Arabidopsis thaliana: one gene and its partner. The protein of the gene in region 2 interacts with the protein of the main gene of each other region in a pairwise test. Each region holds a gene or a part of one and is shown on either strand. Other genes may lie near its edges. The genes, in order: AT3G05400 and AT4G14815.

Region 1 (7,477 bases), on a different chromosome or scaffold from region 2:
GTTGGAAAGTTTTACATTAGTGGGAGATGAGTATAGTAGAGAGAAATAAGGTTTCAGAGACATTTCTCGTCTCTGTTCGTTAAGTGAGGTCGCTGAGTGTTGCCGTCGACTCTCTTATCACCTCGAGAGGGAGATTATACGACAACGTTTTAATACAATTACCAACGGTGGCGTTTAGAACAACAGCCGAACGGCAGCGTTTAAAGAGAATCGCTCTCCCAAAAATATGAATTGCTTTTCAGTACTTCACTATCCTTTAATTTACTTAGAGACCCTTAATCATTAATACTTTTCAGTACTTCACTAAACTTAACATGTATACACTTCAACCCAATTTTTTTTATATTTAGATAAGTTATATATTATGTATCAATATGTTTGTGAATTCTTATCGAGAATAATCTATTGGAGGAGGAATTGTGCTCTTATTAATTGGTGAAATGAACTTGAGTTAAGAAAAAGAAAAAAGCATTGAATTTTTAAAGAAGGATTTTCTAAAAACAGGTTCAAAATGGTGATATAAGTAGTTTGTTCTGTTTTAACATATACCACACTATATGCTTTAAGGATCATGTGTATTATAATGATGAATGTAAGAACTCCAAAATAAAATAAATAAAAAGATGGTCGATAGTAGTTTATACTTTATAGAAGTGGTAAGGGCTGCATATCATCATTCGAATTTTAATCAGCACTGTTACCGAAGAAAAACAATAGTATATATATATATATATGTATACAAATAAACTAATCTTCAATGAGTTCAACTAAACAATGGAAACTTTAGTTAATTATATTGAATTAATCAAATAATTTATGGATACGATCGAAGCCGAATTATATGTAGCAAATGATGTAGTATATCAACCTTTATGATGTATATATGAATGCTTCCGATGAACCCTAAACATTGACAAACGACAGTTGGATTTCTTCTAACGTTAATCTTCGAGTCTCCGGCACCAAGCACCATGTGAATACAATTGTTGCTCCACAGATTATAGCGGATATTATAAAAGTCCCTGCAAGTTATTTTTATTTATATAGACAGGATTAGCCATTGCTTTTTTCTTATAGCACACGATTAAGCATGTTAGTCTAGTATTATATATATACAAAAAGAAAAAAGAACATGTTAGTCTAGTTAATTCAAATTTAACATATGAAAGAAAAATTAACATCCTTAAAAGAAAAAGTTATAAAAGAAAAACTAGAGACGTATACGGTATACTTGCATGCATGAAAGAATTAAACAAAAGACTTGCATGCATGCCTACATGCCTAGGCAGCGATTTAGGATTTAGCAAATCATTTATGCATTTGTATATATATTTGCTTCGGTTTATTCAAGTAAAACTAATAGAATATTTTGATTTGTAATCGAATGTGTATATGCTTTATGTTACTCACCGCTTGGGCTCCAAACCAACATAAAATTGAAAGCATAGTTGGCGATCCAACCAGTGAACCAATTTGCTATGGTCACTAAACTCCCAGCTAATACCTTTATATCCATTGGAAATATCTGCCAAGAAAGTAATTAACATAAATAATAATAATTAACAAATGATCATCGGTATGACTATAATCCAAAAACATCTGTAAAATAGTATGTTTGCTCATATGTGTATACCTCAGACATTATAATCCATGGTAACGCTCCCATTCCAATTGCGAACATCATCGTAAACGACTGTTTGAATGATAAATTGTTATAGCTAGTCAAAATTTTGAAAATTTAACAATAATCAATATATATATATATATATATATATATATTGTGAGTTTTGACTTTCATATTATTTTTGATCAAGTATGATTGCCTAAAAAAAATGGCTGTCTAATTTGGTTTAGTGTACTTGAGATATTAAAGAAAAACAGAATAACACATTTGAAGTTTGTGTAAATATATAGTTTGATAGAGTTTTTAGATTATAAATTAGAGTGAAATTCAAATAGTGAAAAACTTACCAATATTCCAATGAAACAGAAAATTGGAGTAATTTTTCCAATTCCCGGGACATCTTTAACTCCAAACGCTACTGCCAATGTGATACAGCTTAAACACAACCCCAACGCTGAAGTCTGCAAATTCGATGTATGAAAATAAAAATTTATCTTATTTATGGACTATTTTACTTGCACAGTAAAAAAAAAGATAGACTGAACCTAAAAGATTTAAATTTTTCTAACCATAAGAAGTGGGCGTCTTCCCCATCGATCCACGAGGATTAGACCCATTAAAGATTTTGGTACCTATGCATATGATCATTAATAAGAAATTGGGGTCAGGATGTGAGAATACAATTAATGAAGCAATCATATATAATATTTTTTTTTTCTTTTGTCAAAGTGCATTTAAAACAGAAAAATATCTATCTAATAAATTTTTACGTACGACGATAAGAGATAACACCATCATCCCAATCCGAGCAGGAAACCCTAGAAAATCAAAGGATTAGTTTGAAAAGCAAAAAACAAATTCCTAACTAAATTATAAACAATTCAATTAGGAAATAAATCTGATTACCGGCAAGTTTAAATAGAGTGCTTCCGTAAGAACTTATTCCTGCAGTTCCACATAACTGTTGCAGAAGCATCAAACCAATGCCGATCTAAACAAAAATCAACCGAATCCAAACAAAACAAATAATTTGTTATTCAGTTCTTATATAAAAATCAAGATCACTAGAATATATTTAATGAATGAATAAAACTCTTCTTTTCTTACTGTAAGTTGATGAGCATATCTCTTTTCGAAAAGACTACGAATGTTGATATTCGAATTTTTCTTCGAAGCTTCAACTGAAATCTACAAATTTAAAACAAGTATAAGTGAGAATTTTTGCTTAGGAGTAGATTGTTTTTCTTTTTTCTTTTGGTGAATGAATGATCTACAAGACTACAAGTGATTTTAAATATATTTATGTCAAACATCTGTATTTTGTGGGACTGATTTGTACGTATGAGTACCTTGATTTCGCAAGCTTCAGGCACAATATCGTATTTTCTTCCTCTTAACTTTTGAAGAACTTCTTCACATTCTTTATCACGACCTTTTTTCGCCTGTAAATATTATGTTCATATATTATTATATATTTACTTACAAATTACAACAATCATGTTCATGGATATAAGTTTTTCACGATTGATTTATATGACTAACCAGCCATCTTGGAGACTCAGGTATGAAGAACAAACCAATAACTTGTATCCAACATGGAATACTACCTGGTTAATTAGATATCTATATTTTAGTTTAGGGCAAATAAAATAATAATCAGGAGAAATGAATCTTTAAAATCGGGATAGTTGATGGGAATGAATCACCTATTATGGCTAAAGTTCTCCATGACAAGAAATTTCCAAAGTAATATACGACTGCAACTCCACAGTTTTGCAAAAGCTGTGAAGTATTGATGTTAGAATAAATAAGTCAAATTTATGTATAAAATGATAATATACGTCTAAACTTCGATTTTAAATAGGTAAGTCACCTGATTGCTAAATGTAAAAGCCCCTCTTACGTGCTTGGGTGTTATTTCTGCAATATATACAGGAACCTATACAGAAAATATTTATGGTTACGACGATATATATATATATTTTTTTTGTCATCTTTTCAGGAAATAGCTTTACCACGTAGCTAATGAGACCAACTCCAATTCCCACCAAAAATCGCCCCATGTCAAGCCAAATAATATCCTGTGTGCCAAAAAAGAAATTTAAAATAAGAATTATATACTACAAAAAAACATAGACTATATTACTAAAATGGTGATAAAATATACAATTTTGTTAAACTTGCAAAAATAAAGAAGAATATAAGTTATGGAGGGAACCTTGGCTAGTGAAATTGCAAGCCAACCAGTTATGCAGAATAAATCAGCCACCCACAACGTCTAAGAAATATTGTAAGACAAAAAAAAATGAGGGTGTAGAAATTTACGATATAAATTTTTGGGCTTACGACAAAATAAAAGAAAGATAGGGGTGATTTTGAGAATAATTGATACTTACCATTTTATGACCGAAGGCACTTGCAGCTTTGGCGCTGAATATTGCACCGATCATTCCTCCAAACGTCGACAACGAACCAAACAGCGAAAACTGTAAACATAGTTCTCAAGAAATTAAAATTAACTAGTCATCACTGTAACAATATGAGCTCGTACAGTAGTCAACTTTTTCTATTTTGTTACCCCTAAATAATTTTTCATTTGATATAAAAAAAAAGCGATGTAACTAGTAGTTTCAACAAAATACGTATACGTTTGCGTGTATCCATCCACTTGTAAAATTGGAAGAATTGACTGAAAAATTATATTAATGTTGTTTCCCATAAAAATTGTGATGAAAGTTGGACTTACTTGTGCGAGAGAAAGATCCAAGTCTGACATAATGGAGGACATTGTATCTGCAGTATAACCTATCTGTGAACCATAAGATGATAGAAATAATTAAGTTGTTCTTTTTTAACTCTATATACATAATGAAGTTATAAACTCTTACTTTAATACAATTACTTGAATTTTTTTTTAACCTTTACTGTGGTTAGAAACTTGAAATTTAAAAGAGATGTCGAGATAAGATATGGCTATAGGTAGCACGTACTATCAATCCAACATTTTCGAGGTCCACAAGATTGAAGATATGAAGAGATAATATATAGTATAGAAACTATATTATTACCTTTTTCATCTTTTGTCAATATATATAAACTTAGCTTTTAATTCGAAATTAAGTATTACAAATCTGAGGCCAAAAATCATCATGGTTTTGATTATCTGCGTTAAAATAATTTCTAAACAACAATCTTGTTGAAAGACAATAAAGTTTAGTATATAACATTAATGCTAAAGAAAAGAAGTTGGTGGTTTGAATCTGTTCCTTAGCTCATTATACCTCTGGCCTAGATCTGGAATTTGGTTCTAATTAATAGGAACATCTATATGAGAGTGCATATATAGAGAAGAAATAGAGAGCTAGAGAGAGAGAGAGAGATGGGTACATACGGCAGCGCCAAAGGTGAAGGAGGCAGAGACAATGATGAAGGTGGAGAAGATAAGAAGTGGAGTTGTATTTGCACTGTCTTCCTTTTTTGCCAATAACAATCCTTTCTCCATATTATTCTCTCCTTCCATTTTCTTCAATCAAACCCTAATTAAGAACAAGAAACAAAGAGATAAAATATTTGCGTGAAGTAGAATGTTTTTTCTTTCTCTTCCCTATGATATATAGACTAGCTAGCTAGTATAATAGCTAGGATTGGTTAACCACAAAGATGGAAATAAATATCATGCTATGTTGTGATGTAAATGCATCTGGTTTTTATTGAGTCTAGGTTCATGTTCATTGTTTGTATCAACCAGCGTACGGTTTATTACATTTTGGTTTAAGGATCCGGTTTGCTTTGGTTATATGCTGTTTAAGTCATTCATCTGAATAAGATTCCCTCAACAATAAGGCCGTTAGCCTAAAATCGTCGGTTGCCATTTTTCTTGTTCGAACTTATTTATGGACTATAAGACAGAAACATCAACTTGTGAAAACCGTTGAAGTGCAATATAAAAAAAGGTTCAATCATTTTTTCGTAAAGAAGAAAAAAATAAAAGGAGAGAAGAACGGACACGTCATTTTAGTTCGAGACAATCACGAAACCATAGTACACATGTGGGTGTGGCTCTTGTTATTCACTGTCTTGAATTAAATTTAGTGCTGGTTTATGATGTCGAAAGCTTGAATATACTAGATTGATTAATCAATTGTAGCTATATCGTTTTAAAAATTCTGTCATAGTTATAATTTGACGGTACTTAAAAAACAAAATTTATCGCACAAAACAACGTTGGGTGTTGAAACTCGATTCATTGAACCAAGACGCCCCAAAAAAATCAAAGGTCTAATCAATAGGTGGGAAGAAAAGACGTATTTTGAACTTCCACCTAATCATCGCATCACACTCATCATCATGATTGTTTTTGTTTTTCATCGTCAAGATTTAAGTACAAGACTTTGGTTCGGTTTGACCAAGAAAATAGATTCCGGCGCAATGGTTAGCAACCAGGTCGAGAAGACCAAACTTCTTCGGGAAATATACCGGTTATAACCGGCCCAACCGTTAACCGACGTATGCGTCTGCGTCTGCCTCTGCCTCGAATCTCTTCTTCAATTTGGAAGGTGCATGATATTGTTAGTTTGTTTTCCACTATAGCAAAGCAAAGTTCTTAACAACTTTACGAGATTTGTGCTCTTATATTTAACAATTTTTTTAAAAAAAATTTAAGTATGCATGTTGGTATATTATATACTTATCAGCTATGGTTGACTTTTGAATTATATTCAAAGACACAGAAGAACACCGAAAAGTAAGGAATTAGGCACGTTGGTGAAAGAGAGTTTGTGGATTTTGTCCTAAAACTTAGTCACAATAAGTCAGCTTTAGGCTTCAGCTTTAAGTATCTCCAGCTCCGTAATTCTTCAAGCAGACACAAAACACACACTTTTTCTCCGCAGCTCTCGGATCTCTATTTCAAATAGCGTTTTAACTTTGAGGTTGAAAAAACAAACTCATGAATCTCTTCTACTTTTCCTCGAGACACCAGAGACGAAAGGTTTCCATCAAAACATCAAGGAGCATCTCTTCTTAATTCTTATCTGGTAATAATGTTTTTTTCTTTCACTTATCACTTATTCAAGATTTGGCTTTAGGAGCGTTATTCTCTGTTTAGTTAATTTGAGCTAAGATTCATATTTTCCTCTGTTTTTTTTCCATATTCTCTGAAGCATGACAAAAGATTCACACTTTCCTCTGTTTTCTTATGTCAAAATTAGAACCAATAACTGAAAGATTTGGTCAAGAAGAGGAAATGGGAAGAACATGTTTGCCGAGATGGCGATTAGGAAGACTAATGGCAGGATTACAAGTCATCTTAGGATTACTGGTGATCACTGTGAGCCTCTCATGTCTCTACCGATTCCATTCCGTGGGTTACTTCTTGCAAAACGAAGACACTTGCAACAATATCTACACAATCAAAGAAGTCAGCAGCGAAGGATTCGACCTAAAGGCGCTGCACGATCGTGTTGATGAAGTACTAGAAAAGATGGACAACTTGTACGAGAAGCTAGAGAAGACGGTAAAAGATATGGAGAAGAGCAAAGACGGAAGCAAAAAGGAGATGAAGAAGTTTCTTGAAGATGAAGTGATGAAGCCATTTTATTATGCTCATATCGGATTAAGGCAAATCCGGTTGCCAAAACCCGAAGGAATCAGAAACTCAACGGAAAAGGAAGAGCCTTTGATCAATAAGTTTCTCATTGAAGAGATAAGGCAGTACATTACACCAAAGGAGAATCGTGTTGGGAAGATAAACATGTTTGGAACAGAGAGAGTTTACAACACTATTGGTCATGCTTGTGCGTTGATGAAGATGGAGCTAGAGAAGTATATGGATTATGACGTTGGAGCGTATTG
Region 2 (3,470 bases):
TCTAAAGGGACATGAGGTTGTGATTTGTGGAAATGGAGACAAAGGTGGTCTTGTTCAAGGGTCCCCTTCTACCATTATTTGACCTTCATTTCATGCACATATCAATTAATATTTAGTATAACTTGCGAACAAAAACTACAAATTCATTATCACAAAACAATACTACATTCTATAAAAAAACTGATGACTTGTCTTCTAAACAAGTCTATAAGAATCACTAAATTTAATAAAGTTTGCAGAATTTTTCTGTCAATCTCACATTTAAATTAGTGAATCACTAGTTTGATTAAGAAAAGTAGGTGTTAGTTAATTTCCATTATCATTGTTGCTTTGACTTCTCTAGACATTTGTTTGACTCTTGCTAGAAACTGTCTTCCAGATTTCAGCCAGCATATAAATGTTTGTCTATAGCTTTCACAACATATGTTCTGGAATATTAAAAGAGAAATACCAAAACGATTTACAAGTATGCAACTTAAAAATAGAGAAATTTTTGAGAAAGGCGATAATTCCCTTCGTAAAATTACCGGCAAAAGAAAAAGTGGATAGAGACGCGACACTCTGCGCAAAAGTTTATGGTGAACATTGAGCAATAACATTTAGGGTAACAGACAAAGCTCATATTTAGAAACTGTGACTAAAATGGCAACAATACATGTGTTTGTGATAGCAATCGTACTCCTTCTACAATACATGTGTTAGTGATAACAATAGTACTCCCTCTAAATTTTAAGTGATGTTTAGACATATGTTAGTGATAACAATACATATATATATCATGTATTTCAAATATGTCCTAGCTAGAAAATAATGTTTATTGCATAAATCAAAGATATACAATCACACTCTTTGGACTACAAACCAATATCACCTAGAAAGTAGGGATTTAGAGCACAAAATACTTCAGCACAATACACCGCGATTTAATAGAGACTAAAAATGAATATGTTCTTCAAAGAGGCCAAAAGCTTTATTGGTAAAATAAGTCAGTATTTTGCGTAGATTAATGTAATGTAAGAAGCTGTGAATAGGATGGCGAGAAGAGGGAATGAGAACTTAATAGAACCATCAGATGATGACTTTTCTCTTGGGACTGTTTTTGATCCATTTCCATGTTCTGTTCATAGAGATAATGTCAAAAAAGGATAATGTCAAAATAGATATGATTAGATTAGGTTCTATTTATAAGTTAGTCCTTTACCTGAATGTGAATTAACCGAAGAACCACCTGAAAATAATAAAGTTCTGATGTGTGAGAGAAAAAAGATAGCAAAAATATGAATCTAATGCATGGAAAGTGAGTTTATTTTACTATGGCAGCGACTAGCAGGAGGAGTTTCAACATGACAAGCTTTAGGCAAAGCAAGAGCTTGTGTCTCATTAACATTGATCCCAAGCTGAGAACCTCCACCATCGAGAACCTGACACAAACACTCAGAAGAATACCGGACAACATGAGCCAACTGGTTACAACATTGTTGAGACGGGAGAGAAGTGTTTTGAGTGATGAAGCTGAGACACGGCGCCATGCTGATTAGAACATTTGTGCAACTCGACTGAGCAGAAACAATCGACATTACTCTCATTAAAGCAATAAACAAGATTAAACACATTCTAGGTTTCATGTTTTTCTTGTGTTCCAAGAATCTCTCAAGATTTTTTTTTAATTTAGTTGTTTGATCGCTTAATGGTTTGTGTTGGAGTCTTTTCTTTTGTGGTTACGTAAATAAATAAGAAGTTGAGGCCGCAGAAAAAGACGAAAATAAGGATGTGGCTCAATTTGCATGACCAACTTTTGCAACACCTTATGGTGAAGTTTGTGAAAGAATATGATTACGTTTGGTTTAAGGATATGTTTGTTGAATTATTTTTTGTGATTATATAAAGTTTTTGAGTTTCACCTGATTGAAATTTGATTGCTGACCTTTTCAATGAAAAAAACAAGAAAAAAAATAAGATACGTAGATAAATTTGTAGAAACCATTAAAATTATAAGCAACACCAAACACTTACTTGTGAATTGTTCATTTTAATATGGTTGTTTGAGTTTATTGGTTTAATTTGTGTTGGAGTCTTTTTGGGAGTTCGTAAATAAATAGAAACTGATATATGTCGCATAAAAAAAAAAAACAAAAAGAAGGATGTCAGGATGTGGCTTAATCTGCATGATCTAACTTCTCTATTTGATAAAGAGCATGACCAACTTTTGCAATATAAATATGGTAAAGTTTGCGTTCTTATTCAGAAACTGAGATTCCGATATGCTCCACCATACGTAAACCATTATTAGCCAACACTTCACGATCTTCACGACCACCGAAAAACAAAACCACGACAAGAAAAAACATCTTCTGACGAAACTTAACTCGAACCACCGAGTCCACGGTCAACGAATATTCAAACTAAGCAAAGAGCCTTCAAGAAAAATTCTTCAAGATATCAGATATTTCACGAAGATATCTGCATAACAGCTACGAGGAAATTGTGATTTTATCGTTTCACAAACATCAACAGCTCCATGGATCGTTATGGACGGATAAATCACAATCACTATCCTTTTTCTAGCAGCTGTTGAGCAGGTTTCTTCGTGAATATCTGGCATTTTGGTGGATTTTACAGTTTCACAAGCATCAACAGTTCCATGGATAATTATAACGGTTTCACAAGTCTATGTTTGTTCGTTTTTTCTTTTTTTTAATTGTCTATGTTTGTTATGTTCTCTAAATTTATATTGATTCTCTAAATTTATATTGAGTTCAGTATGTTTGGAAGCACATGAGAACGTTCTTTTGATGATATTATTACCAGTATTCTATATTGGGTCATTCATAGTATTACTATTCCATACATTTCCTATTTGTTGTGGGCTGGTTATTCGTCAGCACCGATTTAGCTTACGATGTGTTCGGGAGCCCTCGTCCAAACGAATATCAACTAAATAAGTAATTAACTTTCCCACTTAAACTTTGAATGGATGCGGCGGACAAAAAGGTCTAATTTTTCTGCAGTTTAATCCATTTTATTTTTGGGCGGACAATAAATCGGTGCGTACCAAATTTATTTGTATATAAAAACGGTTTGCTGCGGTTTTTCTTTTTTTTTGGTCCGAACTACTGCGGACTATAATTGATGAATGGTAAATAAAAAGCGGTATGATCTGTTGAAGGTTTTGTTCGCCTCAACCGCCGTAACCATTAGATTTTTATTTATCCTCTTTAAAAAACAGAAGTATAAAATTTCAAAGTCAACTAAACTATAAAATGTCAAAAACATAAACTGTGGGCTTTGATATTCAATCTAAAAGCCCAAACGAAACTAATCTTCACCCACGTGGACGGACCTTAGTGGCCAGTCACTACCAACTCAGCATCACCCGAAAATATCAATATAGGGGCAAATTAGTAACTTCGTTATCAAACCTCCACAACTGTTTATTTCCCGCCACCATCGTCATACAATCTCAGTTATCG

Evidence for each region.
Region 1: the proteins of AT4G14815 (region 2) and AT3G05400 interact in a protein complementation assay, tested with the Arabidopsis thaliana proteins (one large-scale study listed by BioGRID).

Annotation. Positions count from the first base shown.
Region 1 is NC_003074.8:1,547,369-1,554,845, reverse strand, and holds AT3G05400 (Major facilitator superfamily protein), read right to left. Parts: upstream 5,401-7,477; 5' UTR 5,145-5,400; coding exon 5,016-5,144; intron 4,434-5,015; coding exon 4,371-4,433; intron 4,111-4,370; coding exon 4,021-4,110; intron 3,903-4,020; coding exon 3,843-3,902; intron 3,706-3,842; coding exon 3,640-3,705; intron 3,564-3,639; coding exon 3,498-3,563; intron 3,407-3,497; coding exon 3,331-3,406; intron 3,232-3,330; coding exon 3,167-3,231; intron 3,067-3,166; coding exon 2,974-3,066; intron 2,813-2,973; coding exon 2,732-2,812; intron 2,616-2,731; coding exon 2,531-2,615; intron 2,443-2,530; coding exon 2,399-2,442; intron 2,257-2,398; coding exon 2,194-2,256; intron 2,086-2,193; coding exon 1,972-2,085; intron 1,694-1,971; coding exon 1,634-1,693; intron 1,526-1,633; coding exon 1,411-1,525; intron 1,023-1,410; coding exon 904-1,022; 3' UTR 627-903; downstream 1-626. Other genes in the region: AT3G05410 (Photosystem II reaction center PsbP family protein), read right to left, coding at 1-63; AT3G05390 (S-adenosyl-L-methionine-dependent methyltransferase), read left to right, coding at 6,870-7,477. UniProt on the Arabidopsis thaliana protein: Sugar transporter.
Region 2 is NC_003075.7:8,503,277-8,506,746, reverse strand, and holds AT4G14815 (Bifunctional inhibitor/lipid-transfer protein/seed storage 2S albumin superfamily protein), read right to left. Parts: upstream 1,705-3,470; 5' UTR 1,626-1,704; coding exon 1,313-1,625; intron 1,229-1,312; coding exon 1,202-1,228; intron 1,118-1,201; coding exon 987-1,117; 3' UTR 795-986; downstream 1-794. Other genes in the region: AT4G14810 (uncharacterized protein), read right to left, coding at 2,238-2,402, 2,507-2,602.